Tribolium castaneum: one gene and its partner. The protein of the gene in region 2 binds, or shares a complex with, the protein of the main gene of each other region. Links are inferred from orthologs where the notes say so. Each region holds a gene or a part of one and is shown on either strand. Other genes may lie near its edges.

Region 1 (4,774 bases), on a different chromosome or scaffold from region 2:
TAGTCTTGTCATCTTATATTCAGGCACGATATGCAAAAAAAAGTAAATTAACTGTTACAATTTTTTGTTCATATTTCCGGTGAAATTTTGGGGGTGAGTCAAGGAAGCGTTCTGCTTGTCTTGGGGCTCCCCCTGTGCATAATTTGTTGCTTTTCCGGTTAGTTGTATTGGTGGTGGCGCAGTTTTCGGTTTTTGTTCGTAACTGTGTTGTGTGCTAGAATTCCGAAATGCCCGTGTCGGCGACTTACATGGGGGCCCTGGGGCGCTACCCGGGCGGGTACTCATCACAAGTGCGACGGTCCCTTCCAAACATGGCCCACACGATGCTGATAAACGAACCGGCCAAAATCTACCCTTACCACTTGCTTGTGATCACTAATTACAGACTGCCTTCTGATGTCGACAGATGCAATCTTGAGGTAAAATACTTTTTCCGATTTTGTGACCAGATGATTGGAATTTTTTGTAGCGACATCTGTCGGACGCCGAGTTCGAGGCGATTTTCCAAGTCTCGCGGACCGACTTCTACCGACTACCCCAATGGCGCAGGAACGAACTAAAACGTAGAGCTCGCTTGTTTTAAACTCTTCATGTGCTACTAGATGCTGCTTGAGTGCTAAACCACCACGCTAAGGCTGCTATACACTGCGATGTGTAACTGGTTTTCTTTGAGTGTTCCTTGATTCATTTACCGACTGGATCATTCTTCGCCATAGTTTAAGTTGACAAGGTTTCTGCGAAATGTGCTAGAGTAGCTCTTGGTTTCCTTACGGATTATTCCAACTAGATAAAAAACAATATTTTTCTACTGATTTGAACTATTATAATCTGTATTGTATTGGTGAAAAAGAGTATCTTGGAAGATTCAACAATTTTTTAATCATAGGACAAATTGGCTATATTCAGAGATTGATATTTTTTCTATAGGATAAGTGTATAACTAGGTAGTGCTAAGATAGTTGAAAGTTATTTATAAAAACGGCATTTAGATTGCTTTAATTATTGCTTTGGGCTAGTCGTATATTCTTTTGTACATTTGTTAGTGCTGTCAAGGACTTTGTGGTACCTTTTATTTCTGGTATATTGTTTTAAACCCAAATTCATTTTCATGAGTGTTTCTATTGTTACAAATTATTTATTTATTCTCATAAAATAACGATTTTAAAGCTTTAGGTATCTAAGATTTGTTAATAATTGCTCTGATAAATAAAAAACTTTTAAATACGACTTGTTTACTTTTTATAGCCACTCGTTTAAGACATTTTTTACCACCACCCATAATATTAAATGGGCAAACGCCTGAAATTTTGACACATCGACTTGAATTATTTTTTCACTCCAAAACCGAGACCGATACAAAATTTTTATGTTACAAATTGTTCAAAAGAACTGGGTCTTTCAAATAAAAAAAATTAGACCACTCGATTAACGTGTAACAAAAATATTCATTTTCATAGTTGTTTCAATTGTTACAAATTATATTTATTCTCATAAAATAACGATAACGCTTTAGGTGTCTAAGATTTCTTGTTAATTGATCTGATGAATAAAAAACTTTTAAATATGACTTATTTACTTTTAAAACCACTCGTTCAATACATTTTTTCCTAGACTGATATAATAAAAAAGTGTTATTTGTACCTAATAAAACATTTACATAAAAACCTCAGTTAGCAGATTCACATGCATCTATCCAATCGTTGTACACATCCACAGGCTCTGATAAAAAATTGATAGTAGTTTGGAAGTCTTCAAGACACACTCGGCACGTTATCCTGGCCGTATTTCGACCCTTATCCCTACAAACACACACATTACCCCATAAAACCCAACGGTTTATAAAAACAATCACATTTTAACATCGCACGATTTTTCGTGGTTGCAAAAAGGGCAGTTGAACTGCTGGTCCAGGGGCTCCACAGCTTTGCGTTTCGGCGCCGGTTTTCGCTTCGACTTGCGGCGCCCCATCACAAGACACTAAATTACACACAAAAAAAGTTTTCAACACAAGTTGGCCCCAAAATTTACAAAAAAACCGACCCGACCAAAATAAACAGTTTTTGCGCAAAGTTGACGTGTGACAGTAACACCAACGTGGTGGCAAAAACTGAGACAATTTGAGCGTAATTGCGAGCTTAATTAATATCACCGGGTATTAAGTTCCGACCGTGTTCACGATTCAGTCTTGAGGAATGCGCTAAAGTTTTATAAGGGGCTCAAATGAATTATTTTTATTTAGCGTAACAATTTGTTATGTTGGTGCCTCTGTCATTGGTGTGATATAACCACACATTTGTTGCAAAGTTTTGTGACATATTTTTGTGTGTTTTTGCAAGAATGTTTCAGCCCGAGTTCCAGGCCGTGGTCCTGGCGGCCGGCCGGGGCTCCCGCATGCCCGAGATCACCTCCGGCAAGCCCAAGTGTCTGCTGCCCGTGGGGACGAAGCCCCTCGTTTGGTACCCCTTGTACAAGCTGCAGCAGTCCGGTTTCACAGGTACGTGCGCTGGCCGTTCGAAATCTCATAATTACCAGACTTTTAGACGTAATTCTTGTCGTGTTAGAGAATCACAAAAGCGAGATTCAGGCCACGCTTGACAAAAGCGAGCTTGAGATCAAAATCGACTACTTCCCCGTTAGCGGGAAGGAGGACTTAGGCACCGCCGACTCCCTCAGACTCCTCCATGACCGGCTAAAGTCCGACGTTCTTGTAATTTCGTGCGACTTTATCACTGATTTTAGCCTAAAAGGCGTTTTGGACGTGTTCCGAATGCACGATGCCTCGGTCGCGTCTTTGTTCTTCCACCCTCACGGGGGCGAATTAACAATCCCGGGCCCCAAGTCCAAACACAAGCCGGAGCGCGATTTGGTCGGGATTGACGCGCAAACAAACCGTTTGGTGTTTTTAGCGTCCGCGAGCGATTTCGAGAGCGAATTATCGCTACCGCGCTCTTTGCTCAAGAAACACACTCATGTTAAAATGTACAGCAATTTGGTCGACTCGCACGTGTACGTTTTGAAAAACTGGGTGGTCAAATATTTGAACAGCCAGCCGAACTTTACAACAATCAAGGGCGAGCTCTTGCCCCACATTGTCAAAAAACAGCTCTCCAAGCCCCCGAAAGGGGCCGAGGGCAAGTCAATAGTCAGTAAATGCGACAGCGAGGACATTTTTAATTACGCGAAAGAGGACCCTTTCAGTATTATTATAAGGGAGTCCTCGTCCTACAACGACCATATCGGTGACTCCAAACCCACGTATCACGGTGATAGCATCCGGTGCTACGCCTTGATAGCCCCCCGAGACTCGTTCGGGGTGCGAGTCAACACTTTAGCGACGTACTGGGCCGTTAATAGCAAAGTACGTGGTAGTTCGCCCGTTGTGAGCCCCCTTGAGAGTGTGCGTTGCAGGTCAGCGAAAGGTGGGACAAAATCACAAATGGGCTAAGCCTCGTCCTCAGACACCCCAAAAGTGAGATTAAATCGAGCCAAGTGGACGATAAGTGTGTTGTTTGGGAGGGAGCCAAACTGCACGAGAAAACCTCGTTTAAGAACTCGGTTATTGGGGCTAACAGTGAAGTTTGCAGTTTTTCGAGGGTTTTTAATTGCATTGTTATGAATAATGTGACGATTAAGGAGAAGTGAGTGGGTTTCCATTGTGTGGCCTGTGTGGCAATTGTGTTTCAGGGTGGCGTTGGAGAATTGTATAGTTTCGGATGGAGTGACGATCGAGAAGGGGTGTCAGATTAAGGGCTGCTTGATCGGCAGTCACCACTTAGTGCCCGAAAATTCGGAACATAGTCAAGAGGTGCTCACGGATTCGGACCGCTTGATGGAATTCTAATTTTTATTTTTGTACATAATTTACGAATAAAATACAAATGTGAACTACTTGGTTTTTTTCGGTTTCGTAAGCAAAAAATCGTCTATTTGCTAATTGATTCTGTGGTTAAAATTTGGCAAATAGCAGGCGAAAAGTGCTAAAATATTCGGCAAGTTTTTACGATGTCTATTTAGCGAAATTCTCGAAATCCATTCGGGTAAAGTTAATTTTGGGTTTTACGTATGTTGATGGTCGGCAAAGTTCATAAATGCGTCATCGAATTCTGGAAATATCTGCATTTGCTTTCGATCGATATTAAAGGAGCTAATATTCGAGATTTTGTGTTCGGTGAAATGGAATCCTTTACGTATTCACTTTTTTGCACAAAAAATAAGACGATAAGAGTTTGCAAATTTTCCTCAATCTTAGTACAAAAAATGAAGAACACGCTTAATTAACGACCTGAGTTGCGAATAGAAACGGTGACGGTGCAGTAGTTGCCAAAAATAAGTACTTTTTCACATTTTCAAAATATTTATAAAGGTCCGTTTTGGAGAAATTATTGGAAGAAAATATAATTTAATTAAAAAAAAGTGTAAGTCAGAAAATAGTAAAATAAATACGAGTGCATAGTACTAAGAATATTAATTTATTATGCTAATAACTCGAATACTAATACTAATAGAAAAAAAAATAAAAATAATATATGTTTGAAAGAGGTTCAAACTATAATTTTTTGTTCATGGATGTAGACAATTAATTTACTCGCATGGATTATTACAAATCCTTGTTTCTCACTAGCAAGTTGATAAAAACAAATCAAGAATTATTTCTAAAATACTTGCAGAACTTAAATTATACTTCTGAAAATTAAAGCTTTTACGAAAATTTAAAATTATTACTTATTACTTATTACTTATGGTACAATGTGAATAACGACGAATTTATGCACTT
Region 2 (5,279 bases):
ATTTATGATGTCATTGGTTTTTGAGTAATGACGTCAATTTTATTTATTTTTAATAGTAAGAAATAATACAGCCATTCCAGAAAAAATACAAACTGACACCGAAATTTCCAAAATAATTTTAGTATTTAAAGCTTCTTTCAAAATACACGATTCGATTTATATTTATGTATTTTGCGACGAGAGTTTTTTTGTTATGGATTTAAAATGGGAGAGGATAATAATATAAATTGAAGTAATTCAGTGGGTTCTAAAATTTACATACCTTGTAGGCGATAACATAAAATACTGTTGACAGCTGAAGTACAACAACAGTTGTGAATAATTTTTGAGTGTTTTTCTAGTTTCTGGAAGTTTAGAAAATGAAAATCGGTAAGTAAATTGAATAGTAATATTACTTTTATATCTTCGTATATTTTGATGTCTCGTTCATTATTAGAAGCATATAAATGTTCTTATTTCTTACGTCGTTAAACAAAACCAATAATTTTTAATTTCCACTGTGTAACTTTGATATTGTTGAAGTTTTTAATAATTAAAACCTGCCTGAATAATTTTTTTAGAGCTATTTTTACACACATGATTCTTTTGTTGCGTCCGTCATGTGTAAACAGAAAGTAAATTAATCAGAAGTCGTTACCTTGTATTTCAAATTTCACAAACGTATGAAAGTCACAAACAGTTGGACTGGTACTAAGCTCCTGTAAAGAAAAATTTACTTCTGCTGATAATGTTCATAAAAACTAAAAATAAAATCAAAAAATTTCTGTAGTGTTCCGTACATTAATATGGAATGGCTTAATAAAAAAAATTAAATCTATTTTTTATAATCTCACGCAAAAGGTCTAATATTTTTGCTATTACCTTATTTTGTAAGAGGCGACCGCTTTTATTATTATTTATAATTAACCCTTTTTAACTTCTTTTTTCTTTATTTATTATTTTCTTTTTTTTTGATTTTTTTGTACCTACCAGAAAAATAAAGGAGCATACTATAAAAAACTCAACATAAAAATGTCAGTTCTTATTAAAAAAAACGTAACTTCTCAAAGAATAGTGACGTCATAAATTACGAGGTAAAATGAAAGTGTAGTATTTATAAAAAAACCTGTTTGACGATTTTATTTAATTTTTTTTGAATAAGCCGTAGCAAGGTGTGAAATTTTATGCTTCACCGTAAACTCACTCTGTATGTTTCTCTTTGCATCTGTTTTTTTTTCAGAATTTTCTACAGTTCCTTATAATTAAAATTAATTAATGAATTAAGTCGCACAAAAATATTATTTCTTGTTATTTTAAAGCAAGCAATGCTTAAATGTTATTTTGGGCAAAAAACTGGTAAAAAAATACTACTGATCCCATAATAAACGTATTTAGGTGAGAGCGAATAACATTACAAATCAATTTCAATTAATTAATATTTTTAATTACTAATTAATATTAATCACAAGAAAAATTCTCAAAAAAACACTGCATATTGAACAATATAATTTAAAACCACAGTTAATACCAAATTCTGAATACTGTGCGTCTATTAATTTTTGAAATATAATAGCTGTTTCAGAACTATAAAAACGCCAACTTTGACCGAATTATTTTTTTAAGAAGATTGATAAAATTGTAAAATAGTTATTAATGATTAGATCTCTCATTGAAAGTATAGACTACATTAGCTATTATTCTTTATAAGTACAGAAATAATTTATATTATAACAGCTAATTTTAAGAAAAAATGCGACGTTGGCGTTTTTATAGTTTTAAAACAGCTAGTAGTAAAAAATACTTTTAGCAAATTCGCTCTATTTTAAATACGGAAAACTAAAAGTATGAGGTGAAACGAGTTAGAACGAGCTAACTTGTTTTTCGTTAATTTAAACTTAACGCAAAAATGTGTGAATTTTGGGCATTAATAACTTTTCCAAACGTTTTCCTATTTTTTATTCGAATAATCTAAATCAGCTCGGATGTGGTGAATTAATTACTTTTTTAATACTTTCATACTGCACCTATCACCTCATATTTTAATCCTCTGTATTGAAAAAATACCTTATTGCTTGATACATCCGCCAGTTGGTAATAGCCCCTCCAAAGTGACTGCCTTTCGTCACGTGACAATACACCGTACTCCCGAGGATTTCCTCATTCATTAGTAAACCCTTGACAAAATCGTCTTTAGACTGAAAGTCAAAATTGTCGGAAAAGAGAGGCAAAACTGACGGAGAACAAATTGCAATATGTGTGTCTTTGAGGTTGTGATGTAGCGACACGTTTGAATTTTCCAGAAAAATTTCCTGTAATTATAATTTTTAGAAAAAAAAAAAAAATTTGGACAAGTTAGGACGTACTAAAGGAAATTCAATTTTTCTGTCTCTGCTTTGCCCCAATTTTCTATGAAATAAAACCCGATTGTTATTATTGACAGCAACGACGACTTCTTCGTTCAAGTCGCGCCCCATTTGCCCAATCCCCGCCTCCTGGTAAATTACAGTCATAGCAGCCCCCTTGTCCTTATTAGCAACCTCACTGCAAGCACAAATTATAGGGAAAAGTACCTAACACAAGTCTAACACCTTTACTTATGTTTCTTAACAATTGGCAACAATTTAATATTGGATAAAGTCCCGGGTTCCAACAAAACAAAATTCCCTCTCAAAATCCCCTTCCTGTCCAAATCCCTCAAACAATCGCCAAACGAGTGGCAACTTTCCGATACGATAACATTGACTTTCATCGTGAGACTCCATCCTGCCTTGTCTTTAACACTCTGACTGAAAACACAAGAATTAAGAGAGCACAGACTGGGGCGTATCCCTACTTTATGTGGGCTTTTATAGCGTCTGTGTGTGAACAACAGAACAAAAAGGTCTCTTCTATGCCTCCCAGAGACAGAAACTCCAAAGTATAATCAATCAAAGGTCTGTTAATTAGAGGGAAAAGTGCCTAAAGAAAAAAATCAACGATTGCATCATCTTTCTTTTAGCGTACCAGAGGGATGTCGGACGAAAGTGGCAAAAACTCATCTCCAAAAGTATCAGCAACAACCACGGCTTGAATAATATCGTCTTTGCTCTTAATCGACATTTTTAATTAAAAATTTTGATTTTTTAGGTTAGCACCAGTCACAAACTCGACTGACAACAAGTGACGCAAGAGGGCGCACTTTTTTTAGCGATTTGTTTGCATTTTCGGAGCAGAGCTCGAAACCCTATCGCCTGGTGTTACCAAAATATTTTTCTGCGGCTTTTTCACATTACATTGATCAAAATTCAAAATTTTGGCGATTTGTTAATTACCGACGCCGCCACCAGGGGGCGCGTGATCGGGGGGCTTCCCTAAATAAATATTCCAGTCGTTTTCAGTGATTTATTTACGTAACAGTATTTACATCAATGTAAACATCATGCGTGCGTCTATGTGCGGCCAATTGTCCCGACTGGGTGTACCTATTGCCGCACACCCCGCAAATGTACGGTCTTTCCCCCGTGTGTATCCTCATGTGACACTTAAGGGTCCTCAAGTCGCCAAAAGCCTTGCTACAAACGGCGCAAAAGTGGTTTTTGACCCCCAGATGTGTCCTTTTATGCGCCGCTAAGTTACTCGAAGTGTGGTATTTTTTCGGGCACAAGTCACAACTGTAGGGTTTTTCCCCTAAAAAAACCCGAATTGTTATTAGTCAAACCACAGTTGGGGATTTACCAGTGTGTGACCTCATATGTATCTGTAAATCAGCGGCCCGCCCTGTGCGTTTACCACAAACCGAACACTGGAATTTCTTCTCCCCTGTGTGTGTCCTCATGTGTGCTACTAAAGCACACCGACTGATAAAAGCCTTACTGCAACATTCGCACTTGTAGGGCCGTTCTTGCGTGTGCGTCCTTTTGTGAATCGTTAAGTACGAGGACGTCGCAAAGGCGGCCTTGCACATAGTGCAAGCGTACGGTTTTTCCCCGGTGTGGACCCTTTTATGCGCCTTAAGCACGAAAGAATGTGCGAATTTTTTCCCACAAGTGTTGCATTCGTATTTGCGTTCGCCGGTGTGGATTTTGTTGTGGGCTATGAGCCCGTGTGGGTCTGTAAATCTCTTACCACACTTGTTACAAATAACCGGTTTTTCCCCGGTGTGTGTCCGCATGTGAATCTTGAATGGGCGCGTTATGGGGGAAGTACCGAAGGTGCTACTTACGTTAAGGTGGCCCGGTTCGAAAAACCGCTTCCCGCAGGTGATACACAAGTGTTTGCGTTCGCCGCCATGTGTTCGCATGTGTTTAGTCAAGCTTGACGATAATGCGAATGATTTGTCGCATTTTGAGCAAGAAAAGGGTTTGTAATTGGTGTGGGTGCGCACGTGATGTTTGAATTGTGTAACCACTAGAAAAAATTAATTGGGTTTTTTGTATCAAACGTGATACATTCACTCACGATTAAACTCTTTATTACAAATTTCACACTTCAGTTTTTGGTTTTTTTCGTGTTTTAGTAAATGGGTTTTTAGAGTGGATTCAAGTTTGAAAGAACGCTCGCATTTGGGGCATTTCAGGGGGTCCGTTGTAACTGGATTATCGATTTGCAAGTCGCTATTTACAATTTGGGGCTCATTTATGCTCACTGTTATGATTTTGTCGCGATTGTCTAACACAGAGTCATTCTTGAATTCAATAATAGTGGAAATGTTGTCACCTAATACTGTTACAGTTTTGTACTCGCCGTAAATCTCCGGCGTAGTGTACAGAGCTTTCCTCAGTTGGGACTCTGCCTTCTGGCATTGCTCTTTAAAACTTATAAATAAATTTAAAGTGAAAATGCAGTCGTTACATATAAAACCGGGCAAACCGTCGTCCCTTCTAACCTAAAATTGATTATTTCATTGCCTGTTTATTTCTAAATGGTTGTTTACATTTATTTCAGCTAAATTTGTAAGAATCACATCAAGAGAATTATCAAATAGAGAACACAAATCTTCCTTATTTTTTTCTGAAAGACATGTCCGGCAAATTTTATTGAAATCTGTTACAAATTTCACAGAATCTGGGTCTGACATGATCTTACTTCAAATGAAACCCAACTTTCGCTATTTTAAGCTGAATAAGCCCCCATTTAAGACACATAAACAAAGGTGGGTCACAGCTGTCACAAAACTGTTGGTCACATGGATGTATTATTGGTTGCATATAATAAACCTAAAATAAAATTTAGACAATTATAAAAATAATATCTTATCTTCAAAAAATCATGCATTGATATCCAGACAAAATATTTTTGCCTAATAATATAAATAAATACTT

What was found. The genes of interacting proteins can lie anywhere in the genome.
Region 1: the proteins of eIF2Bepsilon (region 2) and eIF2Bgamma are in contact, whole or in part, in a cryo-EM structure (PDB 7VLK), measured with the Homo sapiens proteins. The link is inferred for Tribolium castaneum from reciprocal best matches to the Homo sapiens genes EIF2B5 and EIF2B3. Residues at the interface, in NP_003898.2 of Homo sapiens: Pro190, Val202, Arg222, Arg223, Phe224, Ala225, Phe226, Pro227, Leu228, Phe231, Gln232, Ser234, Ser235, Asp236, Gly237, Val238, Glu239, Val240, Arg241, Tyr242, Asp243; in NP_065098.1 of Homo sapiens: Arg155, Phe157, Glu178, Glu179, Leu180, Val181, Ile182, Lys183, Gly184, Leu187, Gln188, Pro191, Arg192, Ile193, Arg194, Phe195, His196, Thr197, Gly198.

What each region holds. Positions count from the first base shown.
Region 1 is NC_087395.1:21,890,205-21,894,978, forward strand, and holds eIF2Bgamma (translation initiation factor eIF2B subunit gamma), read left to right. Parts: upstream 1-2,198; 5' UTR 2,199-2,337; coding exon 2,338-2,494; intron 2,495-2,540; coding exon 2,541-3,358; intron 3,359-3,408; coding exon 3,409-3,638; intron 3,639-3,684; coding exon 3,685-3,841; 3' UTR 3,842-3,885; downstream 3,886-4,774. Other genes in the region: Unc-115a (actin-binding LIM protein 3), read left to right, coding at 219-419, 470-583; transcription elongation factor 1 homolog, read right to left, coding at 1,667-1,799, 1,853-1,968. UniProt on the Homo sapiens protein: Acts as a component of the translation initiation factor 2B (eIF2B) complex, which catalyzes the exchange of GDP for GTP on the eukaryotic initiation factor 2 (eIF2) complex gamma subunit.
Region 2 is NC_087402.1:10,482,408-10,487,686, reverse strand, and holds the start of eIF2Bepsilon (translation initiation factor eIF2B subunit epsilon), read right to left. Parts: upstream 3,159-5,279; 5' UTR 3,079-3,158; coding exon 2,983-3,078; intron 2,938-2,982; coding exon 2,813-2,937; intron 2,766-2,812; coding exon 2,574-2,765; intron 2,521-2,573; coding exon 2,343-2,520; intron 2,289-2,342; coding exon 2,044-2,288; intron 1-2,043. Other genes in the region: zinc finger protein OZF, read right to left, coding at 3,365-3,645, 3,694-4,365, 4,417-4,843, 4,892-5,035. UniProt on the Homo sapiens protein: Acts as a component of the translation initiation factor 2B (eIF2B) complex, which catalyzes the exchange of GDP for GTP on eukaryotic initiation factor 2 (eIF2) gamma subunit.